Yarrowia lipolytica: one gene and its partner. The protein of the gene in region 1 purifies or fractionates together with the protein of each later gene. This does not show direct contact. Links are inferred from orthologs where the notes say so. Each region holds a gene or a part of one and is shown on either strand. Other genes may lie near its edges.

Region 1 (5,127 bases):
TCTCTTGTCGCCATCTTTTAGCTTTCGAGCTGAGACAGGTGATGAGGGTGTTCACTCAACACGAGTAAGACAAGCGACTTGCTGCTGTGAAATTAGTGCTCCACGACGCTTAGATGCATGGCAGTTACCAGTAGCCGAGGTAGATGGAGCACACTTCATAGTGGTGGTGTTGGGGTGTTTCTGGGGCAATTGTCAATTGTACTGTATGTGCGGTACCCGTACAGTAGAAACACTCAATGAGCCCCTGCTCACTTGACTGCAAGTACATACATCGGTAGTACGAGTACAAATAGAGTCAAAGTACAGTAACTAAGTATGGGTGTACTGTACTTGTACAGCCCTGACAGAATGTGCACTCCGATGTACTCCTCCTGTTCAGTTCATCCCAGTGCCAGTGCCGGGAATTCAACCTCTTCTGGGACGGTTAGGCCATGTGACACAGCAGTACATACAACCACTGCTTCCAGGTATAACACTCACGATATCATTAATAAATCATTCATTCATTCATTCTATATTACGCTGTGTTATTTCCCTATGCCTACATAATGTCCTGGTAATAATCGCTCATACACTTGCCCACAATGGCGGGCAAGACCGCATTGGTGCCTCGAATGGTGATGCTAAACTGATTGCCCTGCAGCTTTTGAAGACACCCCAGCAGTCCAAAGTTGCCACTGACAGATGTGTAGAGTACTCCTGCGCCGTAGATGGCGTCCCGAGTGCTCTGCTGAGCATCAATGGACCATCCAAAGCCCTTCATGACCTTGAGGTTATGAGCAGGGTTGGCAGACTTGGAGATATCCTGGGGCTTGAAGATACGCCGACTTTCCTTGTCTGCCAGCTGGTTCCATCGGTTCTGGAAGTCACCTGTGGACACCTGGCTGGCGGTCATGAACTTGGAAATGACAATAGGCAGCTTGAGATGCAGCACCTTGAGGGTTCCAGCCATGTACGTAATCTTGATGGTGGGCGACGAGGTGAAGGGTTTGTGGCAGTTGAGGATAATAACCTGCTGGGTCTGCTTGTTGGGCTCGATGGACGAGTCCGGGAAGTTCTTGGTGGACACCGTCAGGTTGTCAGGCTCCTTGTTTGTGATTTCACACGACAGAGATGAGATCTTGGTGCCCGAGTTGTTGACAAAGTACAGAATTACACAACCCAGGTTCTTTCTGTATTCGGACTTGAGACCCACCTGCATGACAGGGTCCTTGAAGAAGGTGCCTTCGTCCTTGATGCACAGATCGTAGAAGCCCAGATCCCAGTTGGGCGACAGGCCGGAGTGGGAAACGCCTCTTGAAGGAGGGGGAGGGGGGGTGGTCTTGTTTCCGGTAGTCACGTTATTTTCGTCACCAAAGGGAGACGCAGAATCCGATCTGTTGGACGAAGAAATCTGGCTGTTCTTTCGCATGATGCTCTTGGACCGAATGGCGTCAACCTCGGACTTTCCAGACTTGCCCAGACCCCAGGAACGCTGGTCCTGAGAGGTAAGTTCTCGAGCATGCAATCTAGAAAGCAAAGCAGACGTTCGGCCTTCGAATGGAGGCATCTCATCGCAGATAGTCTTCAGAAGCTCCGGTTTCTGGATGATTGACACGTACTCAATGGCTCGTTGTTGAATCTCAGAGTCCGCACTGGAAGTGTACGCCGTGAGAACTCGTGAGATATGCGGTTTGATGTCTGGGAACATGTTAGCCAGCTTGATGTAGGTAGACAGCAACATAGCCTTGGTGGGCGCAGACACCTGTCTGAAATGCGAATGCAGGTTGTAGAAGAGCTGGATGGGCTGGACTTCTGTTAGCAGGTCTCCATACTCGCCCAAGACGTATGCTCCGGTCTTGACCATGCATTCCTGACACTGGGGCTGCGCGAGATAAGTGTTGAGAGTCTGACTGGCGTACTGCTGGAGAGACTCGTTGTTGACGACAATCTGAACGACTCGCTGCCAAACTTCTTCGGACACGTGTGCCCCGGCAACAGCAATCAGCTTGAGCGAAATGTCCACATACCACTTGTATTCAGTTGCATATTTTTCAACCAGAACGGCAATCTTGATGACCATTTCTTCTCTGATGGCGAAGTCAGCAGTAACAAGGTATCTAAGCAGCTCGGCGACGATAGTCTTGACGTTGGACGAGTCACAGACACAGTAGAGCACATCCAGAGACTTTCGTCGGATAGAAATGTCCTTGTCCTTGAGGTTTCCAAGCACCGTAATGAGAAACTTTTTGACAGGAAGTGCACTGTTTTCCGACATTTGCGACGAGACCTCGTATCGAGCAGCCAGACGGGCCAGGGCTGTGAGGGCCAGGTATCTTAAGTTTGTCTCCTTTGACGAAATAAAATCGCCTAGGATAGACAGCAGCTTTGCATCGGGAGCCATGTCCATATGAATACACAGGTTGATAGCCTCAAACAAGACGGCATGCTGGGCGTTACTTTGTTGCGAGCTCTGGGCGGGTTGGGAGCACTTATCCACAGTTTCGAGCACAGTCTGGCGCAGCATGTCGGTGGTAGTCTCGTTTGCAGCATCCGGAGGAGGGTAATATTGCAGGAGCTTGAGCATCTTCACTAGCAACCACGGCGACTGGACTCCGTAATAAATATAGTCTCTGGGCGCCTGGTTGTTGACACACAGGTCGTAGAGTCGTCTGACTACTCGGATATGGGAAGTTGCACAGGCCTCTGGGTCGTGTTGAACCAAAGCAATAGCCAGAGAACAGACTGAGGTAGCCACTCCAAGGTCCGGATCGTCAATCAGAGCAATGATTCGGTCGTACCATTGGGGCTCCACAATATTGGGGTTCTTTCGGAACAGTCGTAGCAGCGCCAAAGAAGCCTTCTTCCTCACAAAGGTCGAACTGGTAGGCGAAATCAGCAGTTTGTACACGTCGTGGTTTAGCTCGCTGCCCATCATCTCGCTACCCACCGTAGCCACCAGATGAAGCGCCAGACAGTTGTGCATCTCGTCCATACCATCCAGGTCTTTCTGCACAGAGTTGATCACCATATGCACCAGTTCGTGATCCTCATTGATGAGCACCGACAGCGCAATGTATCCCATTTGTTTCTCGCTCAATTTCGTCGAGTTGATGAGCTTGACACACTCCAGGTGGCCAAAGTCCACCTTGTAGCCCAAAATGTAAATGTACAGCAGCTTGCCCACGTACTTTTTCTTTTGGTAGCCGCTGAGATTGGGGTCCGTGAACTTTTGTCGGATGTTGGCCAGCTCCTGGTTCACTCGTTTCTCTTCCATTTCCCGAGCCCGTGCATTTCTCAGATCCGCAATGAATTGTGTCAATCCTGGGTTAATATGGCGAATGACTGACATCCAGGTCTTGATATATTGTTCTCAATATCTTCCTACCCTCTCAGCGTCTACGGACGCCTACTCACCCTTCATATCCTTCTCTTTGGGCCGAATCAGCTCGCCGAGCTTCTGCTGGCTCTCCTTGGGCCGGATTTTTCGCCCAATGTTTTTCAGGTTTTTGATTTCCTCCATGGTGGTTGAACAGGCCGTGGTGAGATAATTTCAGCTCTCTCTATTTACACGACACGCAGCTCGGCAACGTTAACCTAAGCGCGAATTTCCATCACGTGCCTTACGCAGGGGTGAAAATAAGGGGGCCCGTTACTGCGGGAAGTAGCGGGCGGATTTTGCTCGCAAGAGTCGGAATCAATTCATTGAGCTATGGAGATTACTTCTATCCGCTCCAATTCCGTCAAAAGTGTCCCCAACACCCCGTTTAACATATCCCCCGCCCTCCTTGCTCTATCCTAAACTTGCTTCGGATGGGCCCGTCTGATAAAGTTGAAGGTTGGTCAAAGCCAGCCATGTGTCTTTTGAGAACCAGATTTGACACCTGTCTGGTGTTTCGACGCGTTTCTGGCGACTGCCAGTTGGTTAGAATTCGCTCCAAAGTTTTCCAGCTCCCAATTCTTGCGTCGACGCTGTTTCACTCCGTCTTGTAGCGGCCCAGATGGAGATAACCGCCTCACATAAGTAACTCTGACATGCATGAGCAAGGTGGAAAAATGTGCACCAATATATTTGGAGCATTCCAGCCGCGACTTGTCGCACTTGCACTCGTAGTCGTACCAAGCTCGGCAGCTTGACTCACGTGACACATGTTTCTCCACTCACGGTCGGTCCACAACCCCTCCATTCTCGTACTCGCTCATTCTATACATGAGCCAGGCGGAGCTAACGCAGCCGGAATAAAGACGCAGCGTTAACACGCCCGTAGCACATGTCAGAGGCGCAATTTGAGACATGAACTGAGCGTATGAACGCAACAACTTGACTATATACAGTAGTTTACAGATACTCAAGGCACGTATAACGATAATATTCATCCCGAAAGATAAGATATGTGTTGGATAGCCGTCATAATACAACGGTATCAGTCGATCGACACATGTTAGGGAAAAAAAGCCGATGCTGGACTGCCTTTATCATTGAAGCAAGGAAGTACATTTGTTTCTTAACGGTGATCGCTAGAACGTTAAAAGGGAACAAATACCAATTATTAAGGCAATAGAAGAGTAATTTGGCACCATTTGGACATCTATATCTGCTCAAAATCTCATTTCAACCTCTTTTTTTTCCCACCGTTTTCCCATATTACTAATCATACAACGTAGACCAGACCCAAAAAAACACCGTTTTTAAAGTTGTTGATGTGGTGGCTCAATGGTAGAGCTTTCGACTCCAGTCAACTTGGTTGTAATCGAAGGGTTGCAGGTTCAATTCCTGTCCATGTCATGTTAATGACAGTGGAGGAACATTAGCCGGTTTGATTCCGGTGGCTTCTCAAAGCTGATCAACAACTTTTTGTCCTCTCGGATTGCGACGGTATGGTTTTTTTTGCGTGTTTTTTTTGAATATTGTACAAGTACATAAGCGTAGTTGTGTACTCACAGGTTTTTTTGTTCCTATTAAAAATTCATATATACAATCCAATCTCTATATACACCAATCGACTATGTCTCTGTCCTCAAACAGCTCATTCCATGACTAAGCAAAAATGCTGTCGACAATGGGCTGGATCTTGTCGGGAGTAACTGCCTCGTACTGATCCACCTCCATTGTGAAGCTACCCCGACCCTGGGTCATGGATCGCAGAG
Region 2 (4,387 bases), about 820 kb from region 1:
TAAAGACCATCTCAATGGTGTCTACTCTCGAGTAACTGGCGAGGGATGAAGACAACACGGGGTACACTCACTCCAGATCATTGAATAACTGGAGAATTGTGGGGACGAGAATCTGTTGCAACTTCCAACCCTCACTCTGACCGAAACCCAGCGGCGAACGACTCGGCGCTCCCGAAAGCTGACTGTAGGTACCACCGGAAGACAAGGAAGTAGGGGAAGTGAAAGCAAGGATCACAATGCTGAAACTGGCCCAAAAAGTGCTGGGCATTCAGCCAGCGAAACTAGATATCAGGTGCTCTGGTTTTCTCCAAGTTTCGGTGCAAATTTTCTGAACGTTAGTGTCGTTTCTGTTGCTGACTGTCCAATGCAGCTGTTTTGTCTAGGCGCGATGGCCTACGTGAATTGTAGGTAGATGTATCGCACATCGTCGGTCGTCAACTATTCGCCAGAGTGCCAGTATTACTCCACTCCTTCACGTCAGTCAATCCATATTGTCCATTTTGTTAAATTACATCCATACTCCTCCATCAAAATCTAATCTCGTAGCTTCCACCCTTCATCAAGTATCGTACCCACTTAACGGTGTTGTAATTGCTCTTCTCAAACACCTTGAGGTACCTCACCACCAGACCGGAGCACGTGATCATGGTGATTTCAAAGTCCATCGAAATGGGCGGCTTGTTCCACGGCGTCTTCTCCGTGGTAAATGTGAGTTCGGCTGTGGCTCGGAGAGAAATCTCAGAGCCTCCACTGATACGCGACACCTTCCACACAATCTGGTTGGTCGACGAGTCGTACTTCGCCTTGCCGTTGGATGCGTTGATGGTGGTTTTTGCCGCGTTTCGAGGCGTGGGAATGTTGATGACGACGTTGGTAGCTGTCTGCTGCTTGGGGAAGTTCGCCTTGATAACGATATCGTATTCGACTCGTGACTTTCCGACAATCTGCACACTGGGGACCACCTTGAACGGGATGCTTAGGTTCTCCACGCACTTGTAATGCATGAGCTCAAATTCACCATCTGGAGGCACAAAATTGATCGACCGGTCGTGGTCAAAGTTATTCAGCTTGACACAGTGGTGGAAAACACAGTCCTGTAGACCCACAGAGCCGGTGGGGGCAGTGGAGCCACGTCTGCCACCTCGCTTGGACGATCTAGGGTCGTCCTCGTCGTGCTCCTGGTCGAGACGAAGAGTATCGTTCAGTCCAAAAGTGCATTCTGGCACTCCACTGAGTTGCGACTTCATGTGAATGGTTCCATCGACATTAGCAACAAGCACAGAGCCGGTGGGCGAAATGAGTAGGTTGACCTTCTCGACAACATCCACGAACATTTCGTTTCGGTGATGCTTGACGTTGTCTCGTCTCCAGGGAGTGGCACCTGTGATTTGCGAGGTGATGGTCTTGGACCGTTTGAGAGCCTTCATGGATTTCGATCTACTCAGGGCGTCGGGAACAGACACAGACACGGCGCTGGAGCCAGACTCGCTGCCACTTCGCTTGGCCTCCGTCTGAATATACTGCTTCAGCATATCCATCTCTGTGTTTTGGGGAAGGCCAAAGTCGATCATCTCGTCAAGCAGTTCGTAGACCAGAGTGAAGTTCTCCTTGACGCTCTGCTCGTTGAAAGAGCCAAAGTAGGATTTGCCGAGGGCGACAATCTTGTAGAGGAACTCAAACACCATGCCGGCATCCACGTTCGACCGGTTCACCGCAACGACATACATGTCCTCGGACTTGCAGTGCATGAAGGAGGTTGAACCAATGGTAAGAATCGGTGATCGTACCTGGGTTAGTAGTGAAAGGGATGGTGGCTGTAATCGCGAGTTGAAATGGGTGAGAATCGATCTTCATGCCGGAACGAAGCATGAGATACGACTGAGAGCACTCCATATAAAGGTAGGGTGGCTGAAAGAGTGGTAGCAGCTGGACATATATCTGGTTTTGCTGTAGATGTCACTCGTTGTCTCGGTGTCGCATAAGGAAGCGGAGCCAGAAGAAATCGAATCATGAGGGATCACGCTGAGTTTTTGAGCTAGTTGAACTAGTCGTGAGATGAGCAGAACTATGCCCAAGTCAGATACGTTGCTGAAACAGTATAGCTTGTGCTTCGTGAGCTTAGTAGCAGTTGTAGAATCGATATCACCGTATGGTTGCAAGGCGTAGTAAAGGGACTCAATCTCTGCCCCAATGGCGGTTTTCCTCTCAAGAAGAATGTCCTCTCTCACACACGTCCTTCATCGTCCTCTAAGAGAGCATAGACATGGCACAAAAGAGAACAGACCATCATAAAACAATCATAATGACCACACTTTCCCTGTCAACACCTATCCAGCTGTTAGCAGTCAGAGTCAACCTCTATTAATCCCTCCAGCTCAATCTCCTGAGCATTCGCGTCACCACACGGTCACTGGTCGCGTGATGGTCGCAATTTTCATCATAGCAACTCATACACGGCCATGAGCCTTCCATTGCAACATTCCCTCAGTCGCCCAGTCGCCCCCATCAATTTCGTGCTCCAATCCTCCTCCCTTCGGTACTCACCTCGGGATTACTAATGACCTGAATTCGAAAGACATCGGCAATGCTTCTCCGCAACCCGTCGCGGTAGAGACGCGAGATCAGCACCTCGCCCTTCTGGTTGTACAGTAGAATAGCCGAAATCATGGTCAGATGGCGGGCAACACGTAAGCTCGTGACAATTAGCGCATGCACGATATGCACCCCTGCGTGTCTGACTAAGCATAGTGACTAAGCTTGATGATTAAGCTTGATGATTAAGCTTGATGATTAAGCATGTAGGTTATGTGAAGGAAAATCTCTAGATTTGTTCTATTGTTTTCACGTGATTTGAAATTACAAATGAAATACAGATGTACAATACAATGCACCTAATGCATGTTCTAGTGTTGTCGACAGGCAACGGGCCATGGTATCTTGGATATCCCAGATTCATGGCCACTCACATTTCCCATATCCATCTATTCAACTTACTTAGTCCGTTAGTATAATCATGACTCACCACTCAAGAATCATATCGCCAAAGGGCTTGCTCTCATGCAGCTCTCGAACAAGTCCGTTGACGTTACTGAGATACTTGCCTAGCATGATCTGCTTGTCCTCGGTCGTCAGGCGGTACACATTGTCTCTCAACATGGTCTGTCGGTACAGAGTCTTGGATTTGTCCACGTTCTGCCTGGTCTGAGTCTCGGGGATGAGGTAGAAGAAGAGAAACTCGAGGATCTTGAGCTTCACGTCCTTGGGAGTCTCCTTTCGCTTGAACAGCGTGCAGATGGTGGCCAGGCCTCCCATGTGTTCAAACAGTCGGATGTTGGGCACTTCACGCAGCAAACAAGCGACCAGCGCTCGAATCGTCACGTCAACGGCCTGGGGGGTTCCAAGCAGCTTGATGAACAGGCCCATGTTGTTTTCGGTGGCAAAGATGCGCCGACTGGGTTGATGCAGCAAAAGAGCTCCTCGAAGGAGATCGATGGCAAAGGGGAGATGCTGGATGGTGTCTGCGCTGGTAAGCATGCGTTCAATGGTCGTCACGAGGTTAGATGCCACATTATACTCGAACGACTCCTGCAACTGCGAGTACTCCTCGAAGTTGGAGCATAGATCAATGTTGGACGTCTGTCGAGCAGCTCGAACCAGACTCTTGAAAATCGATCGGATTTGCTGCAGACCGGCGTATATCCGCTTGGGCGACGACGACGTTGTGTTTGTAATCGCCGTGGAAAGAGAGCTCTCCATGATGAAAGGTCTGTCCATGGCTGGTGGACAATCGCTGTGGGTGCTGCGTACAAGTGTGTCCAAATGGTGTGTTCAAATGGTGTGTTCAAATGGTATGACCAAATGGTATGTAGCAAGTTTGGTACCGATGGGTGATGTTTTGGGGCAGTCTAAGACAATGTTGCAGTCGTGTGCGGATCTCTGTTTTGCTATGTTTGACGTTGGTCGGGAATGTTGATGTTTCTCCCAATTAGGCAGGTTGCCTGCCGATACCACTGTTGTGCATGTTAGACGCAGGGCAGACCAGCCTCCGCGCAGTTGCCAGTTCGAAGCCGGGCAGCGTAGTGGATAAAGCGGCATGAAACATGGGGCTTTAAGGAGCCGGCGTCAAGTTGCAAGTCTCGTTGCACGTTTCGTGTAGTACTGCTGACTTGAAGAAAGTGTTTAGTCAGTGGCAGATCACATGACAAAGAAACCTTGTTTTGACAGTTCAGGAAAGATGCGCGTCGACTGACAGTGTGTTCGATTCGAGCCTTTGGAGGGTAATAAGTGCGGATTTGAGGAAGGGTTGGTTGGATCCGGCAAATCTGGTAATTGCAATGTTTTTTTTTTTTTTTTTTTTTTTTTTTTTTTTCAATATCTTCGAGTATAA

What was found.
Region 2: the proteins of YALI1_C25829g (region 1) and YALI1_C17680g purify together in Saccharomyces cerevisiae (affinity purification with mass spectrometry, with the first as the bait; 4 studies listed by BioGRID). This does not show direct contact. The link is inferred for Yarrowia lipolytica from reciprocal best matches to the Saccharomyces cerevisiae genes APL3 and APM4.

What each region holds. Positions count from the first base shown.
Region 1 is NC_090772.1:2,581,316-2,586,442, reverse strand, and holds YALI1_C25829g (uncharacterized protein), read right to left. Parts: upstream 3,503-5,127; coding exon 3,397-3,502; intron 3,304-3,396; coding exon 542-3,303; downstream 1-541. Other genes in the region: YALI1_C25789g (uncharacterized protein), read right to left, coding at 5,018-5,127. UniProt on the Saccharomyces cerevisiae protein: Adaptins are components of the adaptor complexes which link clathrin to receptors in coated vesicles. Clathrin-associated protein complexes are believed to interact with the cytoplasmic tails of membrane proteins, leading to their selection and concentration.
Region 2 is NC_090772.1:1,766,250-1,770,636, forward strand, and holds YALI1_C17680g (uncharacterized protein), read right to left. Parts: upstream 2,668-4,387; coding exon 2,545-2,667; intron 1,788-2,544; coding exon 528-1,787; downstream 1-527. Other genes in the region: YALI1_C17700g (uncharacterized protein), read right to left, coding at 3,019-3,774. UniProt on the Saccharomyces cerevisiae protein: Component of the adaptor complexes which link clathrin to receptors in coated vesicles. Clathrin-associated protein complexes are believed to interact with the cytoplasmic tails of membrane proteins, leading to their selection and concentration.